Linked DNA regions of Caenorhabditis elegans. The protein of the gene in region 1 interacts with the protein of each later gene in a pairwise test. Each region holds a gene or a part of one and is shown in the gene's direction. Other genes may lie near its edges.

Region 1 (6,667 bases):
TCTTAAATCACTCTCTCCCTCTCTCACTCCACTCACAGCTGTTTGTGACCCCAACCAACAAAACTGGGGGCCGCGCCATCAGGTGTTTTCCCCATCCATCCATCTGTCTCTAATTCTCAGGATCCCTTCAGAAAATGTTTCTTGGATCGGTTGATGGGGAAGATCGCAACAAAATCCCTTAACCTTTATTTTGAATGATAACAGATCATTACCGTCCGAATAGTTCTCGATGTCGTTTTGTTCAGTGTCTTTCTCTTTTACTACGCCTTTGAACTGATCTCTTTGCCGATTTTGGTGATGTTTTGTGATCTTATAAGAACTATAGTGAGTATGACTATGAAAAATTGTTCCCAACCTTTAACGCGGTTTCAACTAAATCTTGACCAAGTTTTTCCGAAGTTTTGCCAAAACTATGGACGAACTTTATATGTATGTTATACACAAAAATTTAGGCAGGAAATTGCCTCCAAAAATTGAGAAATCTTCCTCTGAAATCTCCAATATTTTCACGATTAGACTCTATTAACCTATGTTCTATTAAGTATTTCATAAATCTACTACCAAATGTTTTCTAACTTTAGATACTTTGCGTGTTGCTCTATGTGCCCAGCTGTTCTCCCATAAATGCCAAACTTGACCAACTAGATCATCCCGTACACTTGCACACTACAGCTGATCAAACTTTTGTTTCTTTTTTAGTTTTATGATTATTATGTGAGAAGTAACTAACTTTTCGTAATTACCAAGAATTCTTAAACTAACTGGTCAACTGCTTTTTGTTGACTTGTCAATGGGTTCCAGGGAGCCCTCATTGTAAAAAACATATGGTAAGTGCAATTGGCTATCGTCTATAAGCTCAAGGAAGTTGGAACCAATTTTTTGTTGATATTTTTTTCTGTTTTGTCTTCTCCATTCCGTTTGAGAATCAGTTTGTGTGTTCATCGCTCTCTCGTTTCTCCGATAAATCGCTAATCAACATTTTTTCTCGGTTTTTTAAGAAAGTAGAAAGATCAAAACATCAAGAGCTCATATTTCATTTCTTGGGGTGAAATCTTGAAATCTAGCCTTAAATTCTTTTTTTTTTCTTTCTTTTTTTTTTTTTAAGACCGATTTATTCTTGGTTCTTCATATTTTATCAAGAGAGAATCTGAGCAAGTCCGTTTGTAACTTTTGAAAGACGTTTTGTGATTCTGCAAATTTATAGAGAACTGATTGTTATTAAAACATGGACTCTGTCGGCTTCACGAGATAAGCTCATCGTCAGTTAAAAATAATTTCATTACAAGAAACTTTCGGTTTCTAATTCCAATTTTGGCAATGTTCTGATGTTTCGATTACTCCCAAACTCTGATCATTCAAATTAGTATCATGAAACATTTTAAGTAAAAGTTGTTGCATTAAACACCTGAAAATGGATCACCTGTTCTTTCCCTCTCATTTTTTCAATTATAAACCCTTCAGTTTTTCTATTTTCTATACATTTAAAACCTATTTCATCTGCTACACTGAAACTGCCCTCTTCCTCACGCCTTTTTCATTTAATTTACATATACATTGGTACCTACCGTATGAAATAGACGAACTGCCCGATTTTGAATTATAAGTCGGTGTGTTTCGACCCTCGATTGCTTCCTCTTTCCCCTCATGTGTCTGTGTAAAACATGCCATATGACACACTGACAAACTCTTTTTTTTTTCGATCTTTCCCCTTCAAGAATTTTCGTGAAGCATCAGCTGTTGGTTTTTTGTCGCAAATAATTCCAATTTTGTAAAGTTTCAGGTAATCCAGACGGCTCCCATCGTCCCTTCGTAGTCTCCGTAGTACTAACAGTAAGTATTTATTTCTTATTTCAAATAATTCGTGGTATAATCATTGTTATCTTTGCCCCCAAGTGTTGCTTATCACAAAGATTTTCAGCTGGGAAAAGAGCCTATCTTCTTTGATTCTACAAAGAAAATGGCATGTCAGCCAGTCAGCCAACATAGTGGGGGAAAGGTGATAAGAGTTACGGGTTTCGGGAAACTTTTGTCGGAAAAAGAGAGAATAAGGAACAAATAGAATTTCAATTCGAGAACCTCAAAAATCAAAAAAGAAAATTTTTTTCAGGTAGATCAATAGTAGAAAATGGTTCGTTCGGATAGCGCAGAAGAAGATCAAATCATCATTGATGATGGGTAAGGATTTTTGTACTACATTTTTTGCTCATGGTTTTAAGAAGAAACATTCGAAAAGTAATGTATTGACATAAGTCTAAGCCGAGTTTTGCTTATAATCATAATATGGTTGAATTCCCGCCTTCTAGGCGACTAGGCAGGCGGTCTGAAGACGTGCCTGCCTACTATATATATATATATATCCAGGATCAGACTCTCATTTGATGAAAGTATTAAAATCTGAAAATAATTCGAAAATAAACTTTTTTTGCTCCCTCTAAACCTATCAAGTTTCCAAGTGAAGTGTTAAGTCTACAGTAACTTTTCAATAAATAAAATTCAAATAATTTCCCATGGCTTTCAATTCGTTCTCAGTGACACGCAACAAGAACACCTGGCTTTTAGAGAAAAACACAATATAGAGACGCAGATGAACTTTTCCTCAATTCTAAAACTGCATGTGGCAATTTGTACTAATAATTTCTCATAATTTTTGGAACAGAAATATTGAGATGTTAAATTGAAGCTAATTTATCCCATTTTCTTTCTTTTTTTTTGTGGAATCGTGGCATTTATTGAATTGATAGGTTCTAATTGTAGATGAAAAGATCAATATAAAAATCAGAACAACTAAAGCTAGAGTTATTTTAATATTAGTTCAAATGTTACCCATTGTCGGCAAAGTTCAAATTTAAGGTCTAAAATGTGTTTTATCACTTTTGGAATTTTTTTTTAAAATGCATTTATAATAATTTAAAACGACTTTGTGAATTTCCAATTTTTAAAAAATATGTTTTTTCTCTATCCTCAAAGGAGTACTGTACTGTAGTTGTAGAATAGAAAAATATGAAGATATTCACGAAAAAGCTTGCGTCTTGAGAAGGCATTAATTGGAAAGTTGAAGTTAATTGGCCCCAAATTATTTGATAAATTTCGCTTCTTGAACAACCTCATCTACGAACACATTTTTGCAGATTTGATCTAACTGAAGAGGACGAGGAGATGATGAGTTCGGGTACAGGTGCATTGCCCGTGACTATCGCCGACTGGAATTCCGTGACAAATGCACGAATGGCACCACCATCCATCATGTCAGCTGCTTCGGCATTTGATTTGACGGCTTCTGGAATGCAGAATTCGTTGCGTTCTGTCTTGCCTACCTCGACGATTGGGCATGCACCAATGCTCGCCAACCGGTCACTATCCCAACCGGCGCCACTTTCACCAACGTCGCTCGACCCCGACAGAAGGTTAGTTTTATAGCACTGAAAGGTGGTGAGTACTGTAACTTTATATAGTATAGATCCAGAATGCGTCGGCAAATTGCCAATTGCAACGAGCGGCGGCGGATGCAGAGCATCAATGCGGGATTCTTGGCTCTAAGAGCCTTACTTCCCAGAAAAGAGGGAGAAAAGCTGTCGAAGGCGGCTATTCTGCAGCAAACTGCGGATATGGTTCATCAACTTTTGGGACACAAAGGAGAAGATATACCTGACGGTGGAGAACCCAAAAAACTCAAACTTGAAGGTAAGTTTATATCTTATTGATATTTTTGAAAAGTGGAGTAGGATGAATGGAAACTGTGTTTCAACAAAAATCTGGATAATCTGAAATTCTGAAATTCCACAAAATAATTCCAGCCTAGAATGGCCTGAAGAAGTCTAAATCTTACTGAATCGTGCCTACCCTAAATCAGTTCAAACTTGAAATTAATATAAGCTGTTCAAATTAAATTTTGTTTCAGAAGATCACCACGACGCTGACCATCAAGCGCAAATAGCACATCTCCAAACAATATTAGAAACTGAACGAGCCGCCCGTAAGGCTTTGGAGAGTCAAGTAATTCAGCTCCGTGAGCTGCTCCAAATGACGACAACATCATCGCAAGCATCGTCACCAGTGACACCAAGATCTAATGGTTCTGGTGGTTTCACATTGCCATCTTCATATGCTTCATCGGCTCTTCCTACTCCGTTACGAGAATCACCGGAAAGGAAACCATCATTTCAAGATACAACAAGTACTCCGTTGTCTCTTTTGACACTGAACGGTAGTCCAACTTCTTCTGAATCATTGGCGTCTCAACGTATATTCCATCCGCCTCCAACATTGCCAAGTTTAGAGACAACTGTTATCCGTCCTACACCACTACCACCAATATCAGGTAATTTTTGGAAAGATATATTCAAAATTAGTTTCAAAAAGATTGAATGTCCAAACAAAACACTATGAAACGTTTGAGATGTTTCAAAATTTCCAGGCAATATTTTGGTAAATTACCAAATTTTTTTTTTGGAAAATTTGGTCTTTTGGGAAATTTAGAGTATTAAGGCCTAATGCATGGTAGCATTTTTTGAAGCCCTGGAATATTCAAATAAAACTTTTTGACTATAAATATATATAAACATTTAAGTTGAAATATCATCACCATCTCTGTCAACTCCATCACCTTTGACTGCCGCTCCAATAATCTTCTCAACAGCAGTTCCAACTCAATCGAGTATTTTGTTCCAAACAGCGGCGGCAGCGGTCACCTCGGCCATGTCTACCGGTAACTCGACACCCGTCGCATTGCCACATCATCTGCAGGGACATAATTCTGCGTTTGTGTGAGTTCTGTATATTTTATGGGGGAAAAATTATGAATTCAGTTTTCTGTTTTGAGAGAAGAAGGCTGTATGTGGAATGATCTACTTTCAAAATTCAATTTCTGAATTCAAATCTTCGTTATAAATTTAATTTTTAAATTTATTTTATGCTGATTATTAAATTTCAATTAAATCTTTTTTATAATATACTCTATACAGTCAAAAAAAATGTTGTGGTTACTGTAGGTTGCAATATTGCTATTATGAGGTCGTAGAAAAATCCCCCTTGTAAAATCGAGGACCGCCCCCAACAGCTGGGTCTCGTTAGGTATTGGGGGGCCAAACCAGTAATTCAAACTTTTTCTATTAGTTTCGCCAATGTTTGAACATTTTGCGTCTTTCTGGGTACGTATGCCAAATTGATTTTAAAAAAACTTTCCAATAAAAACAACCATTTTTCCAATAAAAACAACGAAAGACGAAAAACGACGAAAAACTCCTGAAAATTGGTACAATTATTTAATGACAAACGTTTGAATTCACGGATTTGCCGCCAAATACCTAACGAGACCCAGCTATGGAGGGCGGAGATTTTCTACGTCTGCATAATAGTTCTCGAGCAAACTTTTCGAATTTTTAAAAAAATTAATATGTTGCCATCAATTCCAGAAGCACACAACCGAGCCTGACCCTGTCTCAATCAATGCAAACAATTGTTGAAGCTATTCGTCATTTGGAGGGAAGTCATTTCATTCCAACATCTCCTCCACCAACCTCACAGACATCGCTCGTCCGTTGAGCCTGACTTTTGACAAATGTAGAGTTACAATTACAAATACAATTATCAAATTTTCCACGTTTCATAATCTCTCTCTCTTTCTCTTTTTCTCTCTTTCTTTCTTCAGGTTGATCCTGTTTTTTGCTCTTCATCTTTTTTCTCTCTCTCACCAGGCACAGTATCTATCATTTTTATCACAAAATTTGATGAATTTTTGTTCTTTTCCCATTTTTCTTCTTGTTTTAGGTATACTACTTGTTGTGTTTCTATGAAATGTTTTTTTCCAAAATTTTTTGTGCCGATTGTGGTCTTCTTGTCATTTTTCTTCTAATCAATCTAGCTTCCTTATTTCCCGCGCTCTCACGGACCTATCCATTGTTTCGTTCTCCCCACCGATAACTTTTTGTTTTTTCATTTTCCTTTTTTTCCAGTCTTGTTCATCTCCAGACACTGCCCCGTTACTTTTACACAAATCGTGTCGATTTCCTCTTTTTTTCATTTTTCACCCGGTGGTTTTGTTGACCGTATGTGCAGCTTGAAACACTTTCATTTTCAGACCTCAATATGTCTCTCTATTGCTATCGCGCAATAATCATAACTAAATAATTTAAATAAACCTCAATAGTACAACCACTGAGACAAGAGTACCAATATTTATGTGAAAATTATGATGATGATGAGGAGCACATGATATAAATAATACAATAAACACAGCATATGATAATCGACAGAGATCCGTTTTAAGAAGTGAATGAGAATCCCGCGAGAATAAATAATAATAAATCTAAAGCCCTCTTGTCAGATAGTCCTTTTGTACGACCGCCTTGTACTCGTCCAGCAAGTCTTGCACAATGTGCATTGCATCGTCCATCATATCCAGCGAGAAATTGTCAATCTTTTCAAACTTGTCGATGAAGGCTCTCTTTGATCGTAGTTTGTCGTATTTGGAGAGAAGCGATTCGAATAACGGAGCCACGCTTGTGCTGTTATTGAGCAAGAGTCCAGATACTTTGTATTGTGGCCGAACATATGGAGAGAGTGGAGCATGCATCATTCGAAGTGGTTTAAGCATGTAGAATGGAGGCCTTCTGATTGCGAACTGAAATTTGATTTTATTGATTTGATGCTTTAAGGTGGATTATAGAAA
Region 2 (7,881 bases), on another chromosome or scaffold:
CTTTTTGGAAGGAATAAACAACAACAACAAGCCTTTCTTAGTGATGACTAAAAATTTAAGAATGGAACTATTATGTCGTTTAGAGAATTTTCATGTTCTGTTTTTACAATACATAGAGTTTCCGATTTTTTTTACTTTTTCTTTTTGTCTGAAATTTGTTTTTTTTTGTGTTTATTTTGAGAGTAGAAAGCCTGGTTTTGCTAAATTTTCCACCTATAATTTTTAGACAACATTTGAAACGTGCTTTAACTGAAACTGTCTATTTCTCTAATTTTCTCCGTTTCTGTCGCATCGCTACATATGTTTACCCAATTTCCGTGCTGCTTCTTTTCATTTTTCATTGTGCCTTATCGATAGAGAGAAGCAGAGAAAAAGAGCATCTCTCTCACGCAGAGGGAAAAAAGGTTTTTTATCGATAACACACACCGCCCATTACTTTTGATCTTTCCCTTTTTCAAAGTCATGTGGGTTTTTGGTTCTGCTCATAAATGATTTAATCAATACATAGCATGAGTTGAACAGTAGTTAGAAAATGACATCGCTCCTAGGAAGAAGACATTTTCAACTTATAAAATTGTTTGAAAGTTCTATTTTTAAATACAAACACTTAGAGTTGTACAGTACTACAACTGATATCGTTTTTTTTATTTGTATTGCACTACCTAGTATACATAAAACGATAGAAACAGAACAATTATTTTGTCAGTTGACAAAACGACAGAGAAACTGTCAGAATTGAATAATTCGCGAAATAAAAAATAAAGTGTGGTATTGACTGTTTTTTTTTTGAAGATGATGCTGAATTTCCTGATAAAGTTGTCAAAAATGAATGATGTTTAAGATATTTTTGAAGAAACGTTCGGAATAAATTTGTTCTCTAGAATAATTATATAGTTGCTCTCTCAATGATGTAAATCATATTTTGATGACATTTTAGCTTTAAGAAAATTCGCTAATAAATTGGTTGTAATGTTTCTCAAATAAATTTCTCTTGATTCTCCTTCCAATTCTCAATTGTTCCTTTTCTTCGTCTTTTCCAAAGGAACCCCGCCCATTGTTGTCGCCTTTTGGCATGCACAACTAGTTTTCCCTTCAATCTGAATTATTCGATTGGTCAAGCTTCTTTTCTTTTTCTTATTGAATTTAAATTTTTAACTATCAATTTGTTAAATTGAACGGAAAGCTTTGCATTGGAACATCTTATTTTTCGGGGACGTTATTCTTTCATAATCGTTATTTAATTCGTAAATGTTGAACTTTTTCTCTCCGTATGACAAAAATTGACCAAAATGTTGATTGCAGGCCTGTGAAAGATCGATCCGTCGTGCCGTGGTGTGAAGAGAAGTGACGTGAAACGGTCCGAAGGAGGGTATCGTACTGTTTCGCAAAGCTACATCATCTCCACACATAGCCGTTTCCCCGCTTCATCTACGGGTTCATACCAAACCAGAGTAGCTCATTCACTCATTTTTTTGAACAAAAAGGGTTCGTTTTCATTTTCCAACAAAATACATCCGATCCGTCAGTGGCGCCGCGCGCCGAAAAAGGAAAATATATGAGGTATTGGCCTCTCTCTCATAAAAGTCATAAAAATTGAATCGCCATGGTGTCCGCGAGAGAAGGAGAGCCGCGTGAGAGACTAGAAGAGAAATGAAGAAAAAAGGAAAAAAAGGAGCTCAAGAATACAAGTCAGCTGCCCCAAGATACTCGGCTCCGCGCAACTCCACACCATTTCCAGAGTTTCCCTCACTTTCTTACAATTTTGAATTGCAGGTGAAACAAAAAATCAGTCGATAAAAGGAAAAGTCATCATCAATTTTAAATATATAAACACACACAATGGCCTCGACATCGGCAGGACAGAACTCTGCAGCTAAACGTAAGTATTTACTGAATCCTCGTCTGAAACTACCATTGTTTTTATTCTTATTTTTTGCAATTTAAGACTATCGCTAAAATCAGCAAACATTGAGCATTTTTTGAATAAATTTCAAAAAGTTAAATAGTCCATTTTCAATTTTAGTAGGAACTAGAATTTTCATTTTCTTTGATTGGGAAAATACGGGAAAAGAACAATATTTTTTCAAATCAATTTATTTTGAAGTTTGGTTTCCGTTTCACGTTACATACCTTTAAATGTTATCGAAAAATTAGTTGTTGTTTTCCCTCTATCTCCTTTTGCCCCCTCGAAAAATGATTTTAGAAGGAAATAGAGACACAAATCGAATTTGTAGTGTTGTTGTGCATCATCACACACGCAGTCGTCGGGGGCTTCATCCTTTTTCTAGGTGTCTCTATCCGAAAAAATCTAGCGAAAGAAAAATGGATCTCATCTGGAATGCATGAAAAGAACCATTTTTTCAGCTGACACTACCAACACTACCACCACCGCCTCGAACAACAATCGTGAACGCGAACGTGATTTGAAGCAGTTCACCGAACGATTTGTCAAGAGTAAGTATTTGGCTTCTGCAGTCGGGCGGCAGTTTGAAAAAGAAAAACCAATTAAAGTGTTTCTTGCTTCAGGTTACGGAGAAAAGCGCCATGCTCTTTTTTTCTCTTTTTTTTTGCGCAGCACACCACAACCACCCCCATCCACCCTCACATTGGCACACACACATTGAAGAAGCCAGAAATTATACGCGCAGAGAATTTTTTTTTTTGCTTGTCCCGTTGTCGTCGTGAGCTGCAGAGCCGCAGAGAGTTTCTTCTCGTCTATTCTCAGCGCAAACTCTCACTGTCTGACTCACGCGGGTCCGTTGCTCTGAGGAGCTCACCAATGGCTCCGCGTCGGCTCACCAGGCACATAGAAAATATATCGAGAGATAGAGAGTTCTTATTCTCTCTGATTCTCTCTCCGTCATTCTCTTTTTCTATTCGAAAAGATTCTGACGAAGTCGCCGTCATTGGCGTCGTCGTGTGTGTGAGAGAAGACGGGAAGGAAGGGGAGTGAGTGACTGCTGTAGCTTGAAATCGAAAATTAATCCCGAAACGCTTGAGAGGGTTCCCATAGTAATTTAGGAGGGCGGCGGCGGCTCGGGCGCCATGTGGGGAAGATGAGCGTGAGAAGAGCATGGAATTTGAGAAGAATTGAAAAAAAAATAGAAGAAGGGAATAGAAAGATGAAGGAATTCGGAAGTAAAATGGAATAATGAAAACATTATATTTTTTCTAATTTCTCATTTTTCAGCCGTTCAATTTCCTGTTTCCGAACGCCTTACCGTTGATCAGGTCTACGACCGGCGGACTGGAAAACCAAGGCATGAAGTTCTTCGAGATCATTTTATTAAGGTGTGGAATAGATTTTTAAGAATATAATCAAATCAACAATTTTGCAGGAAGGAAGGATAGAAGAAGAAGCCGCGATTCGTGTGATTCAAGAATGCTCAAGCCTGTTCCGCAACGAAAAAACGATGTTGGAAATCGAGGCGCCGGTTACTGTATGCGGAGACATTCATGGTCAATTCTACGATCTCATGAAACTATTCGAAGTTGGCGGATCGCCCGCAACTACCAAGTATCTATTTTTGGGTGACTACGTGGATCGAGGATACTTCTCGATTGAATGTGTCCTGTATCTGTGGGCACTCAAAATCTGCTATCCGACCACGTTGTTCTTGCTTCGAGGAAACCATGAATGCCGTCATTTGACAGAGTACTTTACATTCAAACAAGAATGCAAGATCAAGTACTCTGAACGGGTATACGATGTGTGCATGGAGTCATTTGATGCTCTACCGTTGGCAGCTCTCATGAACCAACAATTCCTTTGTGTTCATGGTGGATTGTCCCCAGAAATCCATACTTTGGAGGATATCAGGAGGGTTAGTGAAAAACATGAGATCTAAAACTAATATTTTGAAAAATACCGTATTTCTCTATTAGTACGGTACCCGTTGTCGTTTGTTCTATCAAAAAATTCTCAATTAACAAAATATTTGTTAGTTCTTTTTCAATATATTTTCAATTAATTTCTTTGATATGTATCATGAACCGAGTGAAGTTTTTAAAGTGAAATAGTTAGGTGCAATACTGAGAGAAAATTTACGGTATATGTTTGTTTTATATGTTTTAAAGTACTGTTTAACTTTAATCCGAAATTACGACCATATCTTAAATGTCTATTTAATTTGTTGACTTTCAGATAGACAGATTCAAGGAGCCCCCAGCATTTGGTCCAATGTGTGATCTTCTCTGGTCAGACCCACTTGAAGATTTCGGAAACGAAAGGAATTCAGAACAATTTAGTCACAATTCGGTTAGAGGGTGCTCATACTTTTACAGGTATCCCATTCACTATAATCTTCATTTTAATAGAACGAAATATTATAGCTACGCTGCATGCTGTGATTTCCTGCAACACAACAATCTGCTCTCCATCATTCGCGCACATGAAGCTCAAGATGCCGGGTAAGAGCTTATCCGTCGCCAGGAGATGCGAAAAGAGAACCTTAATCCTCTTTTCTAATTCTACTCTATTTTCCAGATACCGCATGTATCGCAAATCTCAAGCCACAGGCTTCCCATCGTTGATCACCATCTTCAGTGCTCCAAATTATTTGGATGTCTACAACAACAAAGGTGAGAGGAAATATGGGAATGGCATTTTTTGACGGAGAAACAAAAAGAAAACAAAATTCGGAAAATTAAACATTAAACATTAAACAACTTAACAATTTTCAGCTGCCATCCTGAAGTACGAGAACAATGTGATGAATATTCGTCAATTCAACTGCAGTCCTCATCCATATTGGCTGCCGAACTTTATGGATGTGTTCACGTGGTCATTGCCGTTTGTGGGAGAAAAAGGTATAGCAAGAAATATGTCGAAAACCAAATGAGATTTCCTTTTAGTAACGGAGATGCTGGTTCACATTCTCAACATTTGTTCTGACGACGAGCTGATGGCTGAATGCGATGACACCTTTGAAGGTATGTTCATGATTAAGCACTGGCTCCCTCAAAGGAGGTCCTACTGCGTAAAAAACTAGGTCACTTTAATATGAATTATTTCACAACAAAAAATATTTATGTATATATAATTTTTTTAAATTAAAATAATCTTCTACCGCCAATTTTGTCTCTATACACTTTCAATGATTTTGTCTTGTGCTCGGCTCAAATTGGCAAATGAAAAGCCGCATTGAAACGTTCTCCCCAAGAGATGGAATACATGTGTTTTTTGCTCGATTAATTTATATATATATTTGTAAATGTATATCTTAACAAGAACAGAAAATTGTTCCTATTCACCTCATATCACTCTTTTCTCCTACTGTGATATAAACTAAGGAGAGGAGAAGAAGAAGAGAGACTGTTTGAAAATTAATAAGGCACTGAGAGTTTGAAAGGGAAATAGGAATATTTCCAATTTTCCTTCAAAAACCTCAAAAAATGCACAAAAATCGGTGTTGTGTGTCCGGTACGGTTCTCTCTCTCTGTCTCTCTTCTACTTCTTTTCTCTCTAGTTTCTTGCCTTTTCCTTTCCTTCTCTTTTTTCCTTTTTCTTTCCTTCTTTTCTCCCTTTTTTTGAATATTTGGTCATTGTTTGAATGTTGTGCTACTCTTTTTTTGATTGAGCTCTCTGAAAAAGAAACCATGAGAAAGAAAAGGAAAAACGAAAAAAGGTATTGGCATGAGAATTGATATTTCTGTGTGAGTGTGCGTGTGTGCTCTGACTGAGAATGACTGAAATATATAGGTGTTCTCTTTTTCAGTTTGACATGATTGATTACTTCAGTTCAAAACTGTAACTATTGTACTCATCTGAATTAGCATTTCTCAGCAGTCATACGCTCCCTATGTGTACAGTATTCAAAAGATTAGCGCCACTTTGTAGGTTTAATTTTTTGTAGGATTTCACACTTCAAATTGAAATATAGTTTTTCGAACGATGTAGAAATGCTAGTCACTAGTACACAAACCATGATGTCGATTGAGAAAAAAACGCATGTATTGTTGACCTTGAGCATAGCAGAGCACTACTTGTAGAAATTTTGAGCTCATTTGCCGGAGCCATGTTTGGCTTGGAAGACATTTTGTCAATAGAATTGAATGACAGAAGTACCATGCCATCGTAAGAATATCATCATCCCTTAATTTTTGTCTATTGTTCTAAAACCTTGAAATGTCGGTAAACTTGTTACCTTTTCCCAGTGTTGCAGGCTTGAACTTGTTCTGAAAATCCAATAAAATTTTGACAAATTTGTCAGAAACTGTGTTTTCAAGCCGTCCGTTTTTTCCTTAACCGCACGCGCCTTTAAAAAAGTTAAATGTTAAAATCTCAGTAAAGATCTAAACATTAATCTCAAAACTAGCTACAAAAAAATAATGAAAAAGTCTAATCAAAATTTTAAGGAGCAGATGGTAAGTGGATATTCCCCTACCCACCACACACTGGTGACGTATGTTTGACTATCAGATTTAGTTTTATTTTTTCTTTAATTTTTTACCAAACTTTCTTCGGAACACCCTAAACAACACCCACCTCGGGCGTTTGGCGCTTATACACCATTTCTTAGTTTGTTTTATTTTTCTCTCTGAATACGGCTTTCTATTTATTTGACTTTTATGTGGCTGCTCTGCTTATCTTTTTTGTTCCGTTTTTCTAAAAAAAAATACGTTGCTTTTTTCTAATTATAATTGTTTTAGTTGTTTCATTTGGCTGTGTGCTGCTAAACTTTTAACGCCTTGTGTTTTGCATGTTTTATGTCGGATTTCCAACCTGGTCTTCTCCTGTGTTTTGGTCTCTTTTCAAAAATTCTGAAAATTCCAATTTTAAACATTGAAAAAAAATAGAAAGTCAAAAAATCGAAGAAAATGAAAGAATTCGAGCAGTCTAAAATTCAAAATTCTCTCACTTGGTTTTGATTCCCCACCCTAAAAATTAGTTACTAATTGGAAGAAATGGGTGTCTTTATTGGGATTTTTAGGGGTACGGTATAAGAAATGAGAAAGTGGAAATTTCCCCAAACCTGTGAGAAAAGACCTTGAAGTGTATATTTTTTCTATACATAATATTTTCTCAAAAAGGTTACTTTATATTTTATTAGTATATTACGGTATATTTGAAAAATTATTATGAAATTGTAAAAGTAGAATTGATGTTTACTCGACAAGAAGATTTTTTAAACTATGAGTTTTTTGGCTATTCTTACGGAACATAATCTTGGAACGAAATAAGAAAATGTTAACAATCGAACAAGTTTAGTTTTTTGTATAAAAAATTGTAGTTAAATTAACTAGACAAATAAATTTTCTTTTCCAAGAGCATAAAACTTCTTTAAAACTATTTACAACAAAAACTACCGTAATCCCTTCAAATCCCAATGGGACCCGTTTCCTCTAACTCAACCTCTATCATTTTCGGTGACGGTTGGCACATTGCAAAATCCCAAATTTTTACCCCCTTTGCCCTCCCCATATTCACACTATTTACAAGTAGTAATTTTTCACCTATTAGCCAATATATATGTACATGGCTTTCATTTTATTTTTGACATTTTTCTAACTTCATTCGGGGATTTCTATTGATTGGTAATGTGGTTGCCAGTGAATGGTGTCACCCCTTTTGAAGTTGTTGCCATGTCATTTGTAAATGTTGACGGTTCTTTTTTAAAAATTAATTTTTCAGGTGGAGTGGGGTCTGCAAGAAAAGAGGTTATTCGACACAAGATTCGAGCAATTGGAAAGATGGCAAGAGCATTCTCAGTTCTTCGGTAAGTTGATTAATTTTTTTCAATTTTAAACCGAATTTGTATGAATTTAAATAGAAAGTTTTTTTCTATTATAGAATGAGCATTTTTTTTAGTTAACTTTTATTTATTTTTGATAACATATATCTTAATTTAATGTTTCTATAAAAAAACAACATACTTAAAG

Evidence for each region.
Region 2: the proteins of hlh-11 (region 1) and tax-6 interact in a two-hybrid assay, tested with the Caenorhabditis elegans proteins (one study listed by BioGRID).

Annotation. Positions count from the first base shown.
Region 1 is NC_003281.10:9,620,373-9,627,039, forward strand, and holds hlh-11 (Helix-loop-helix protein 11), read left to right. Parts: upstream 1-1,774; 5' UTR 1,775-1,830; intron 1,831-1,895; exon of another isoform or gene 1,896-2,038; intron 2,039-2,107; 5' UTR 2,108-2,125; coding exon 2,126-2,175; intron 2,176-3,128; coding exon 3,129-3,404; intron 3,405-3,452; coding exon of another isoform or gene 3,453-3,457; coding exon 3,458-3,681; intron 3,682-3,898; coding exon 3,899-4,318; intron 4,319-4,567; coding exon 4,568-4,763; intron 4,764-4,952; exon of another isoform or gene 4,953-5,101; intron 5,102-5,411; coding exon 5,412-5,541; 3' UTR 5,542-6,156; downstream 6,157-6,667. Other genes in the region: tbg-1 (Tubulin gamma chain), read right to left, coding at 6,305-6,619. UniProt on the Caenorhabditis elegans protein: Transcriptional regulator. Component of a feedback loop involving atfs-1, atgl-1 and hlh-11.
Region 2 is NC_003282.8:10,495,019-10,502,899, reverse strand, and holds the start of tax-6 (Serine/threonine-protein phosphatase 2B catalytic subunit), read left to right. Parts: upstream 1-1,839; coding exon 1,840-1,879; intron 1,880-2,364; coding exon 2,365-2,454; intron 2,455-2,702; exon of another isoform or gene 2,703-2,981; intron 2,982-3,190; coding exon 3,191-3,291; intron 3,292-3,338; coding exon 3,339-3,824; intron 3,825-4,144; coding exon 4,145-4,284; intron 4,285-4,332; coding exon 4,333-4,410; intron 4,411-4,486; coding exon 4,487-4,581; intron 4,582-4,683; coding exon 4,684-4,809; intron 4,810-4,854; coding exon 4,855-4,932; intron 4,933-6,357; coding exon 6,358-6,366; intron 6,367-7,633; coding exon 7,634-7,718; intron 7,719-7,881. UniProt on the Caenorhabditis elegans protein: Calcium-dependent, calmodulin-stimulated protein phosphatase. Dephosphorylates arrd-17. Dephosphorylates daf-16 at 'Ser-319' which regulates daf-16 nuclear translocation. Dephosphorylates calcium permeable cation channel pkd-2 at 'Ser-534'.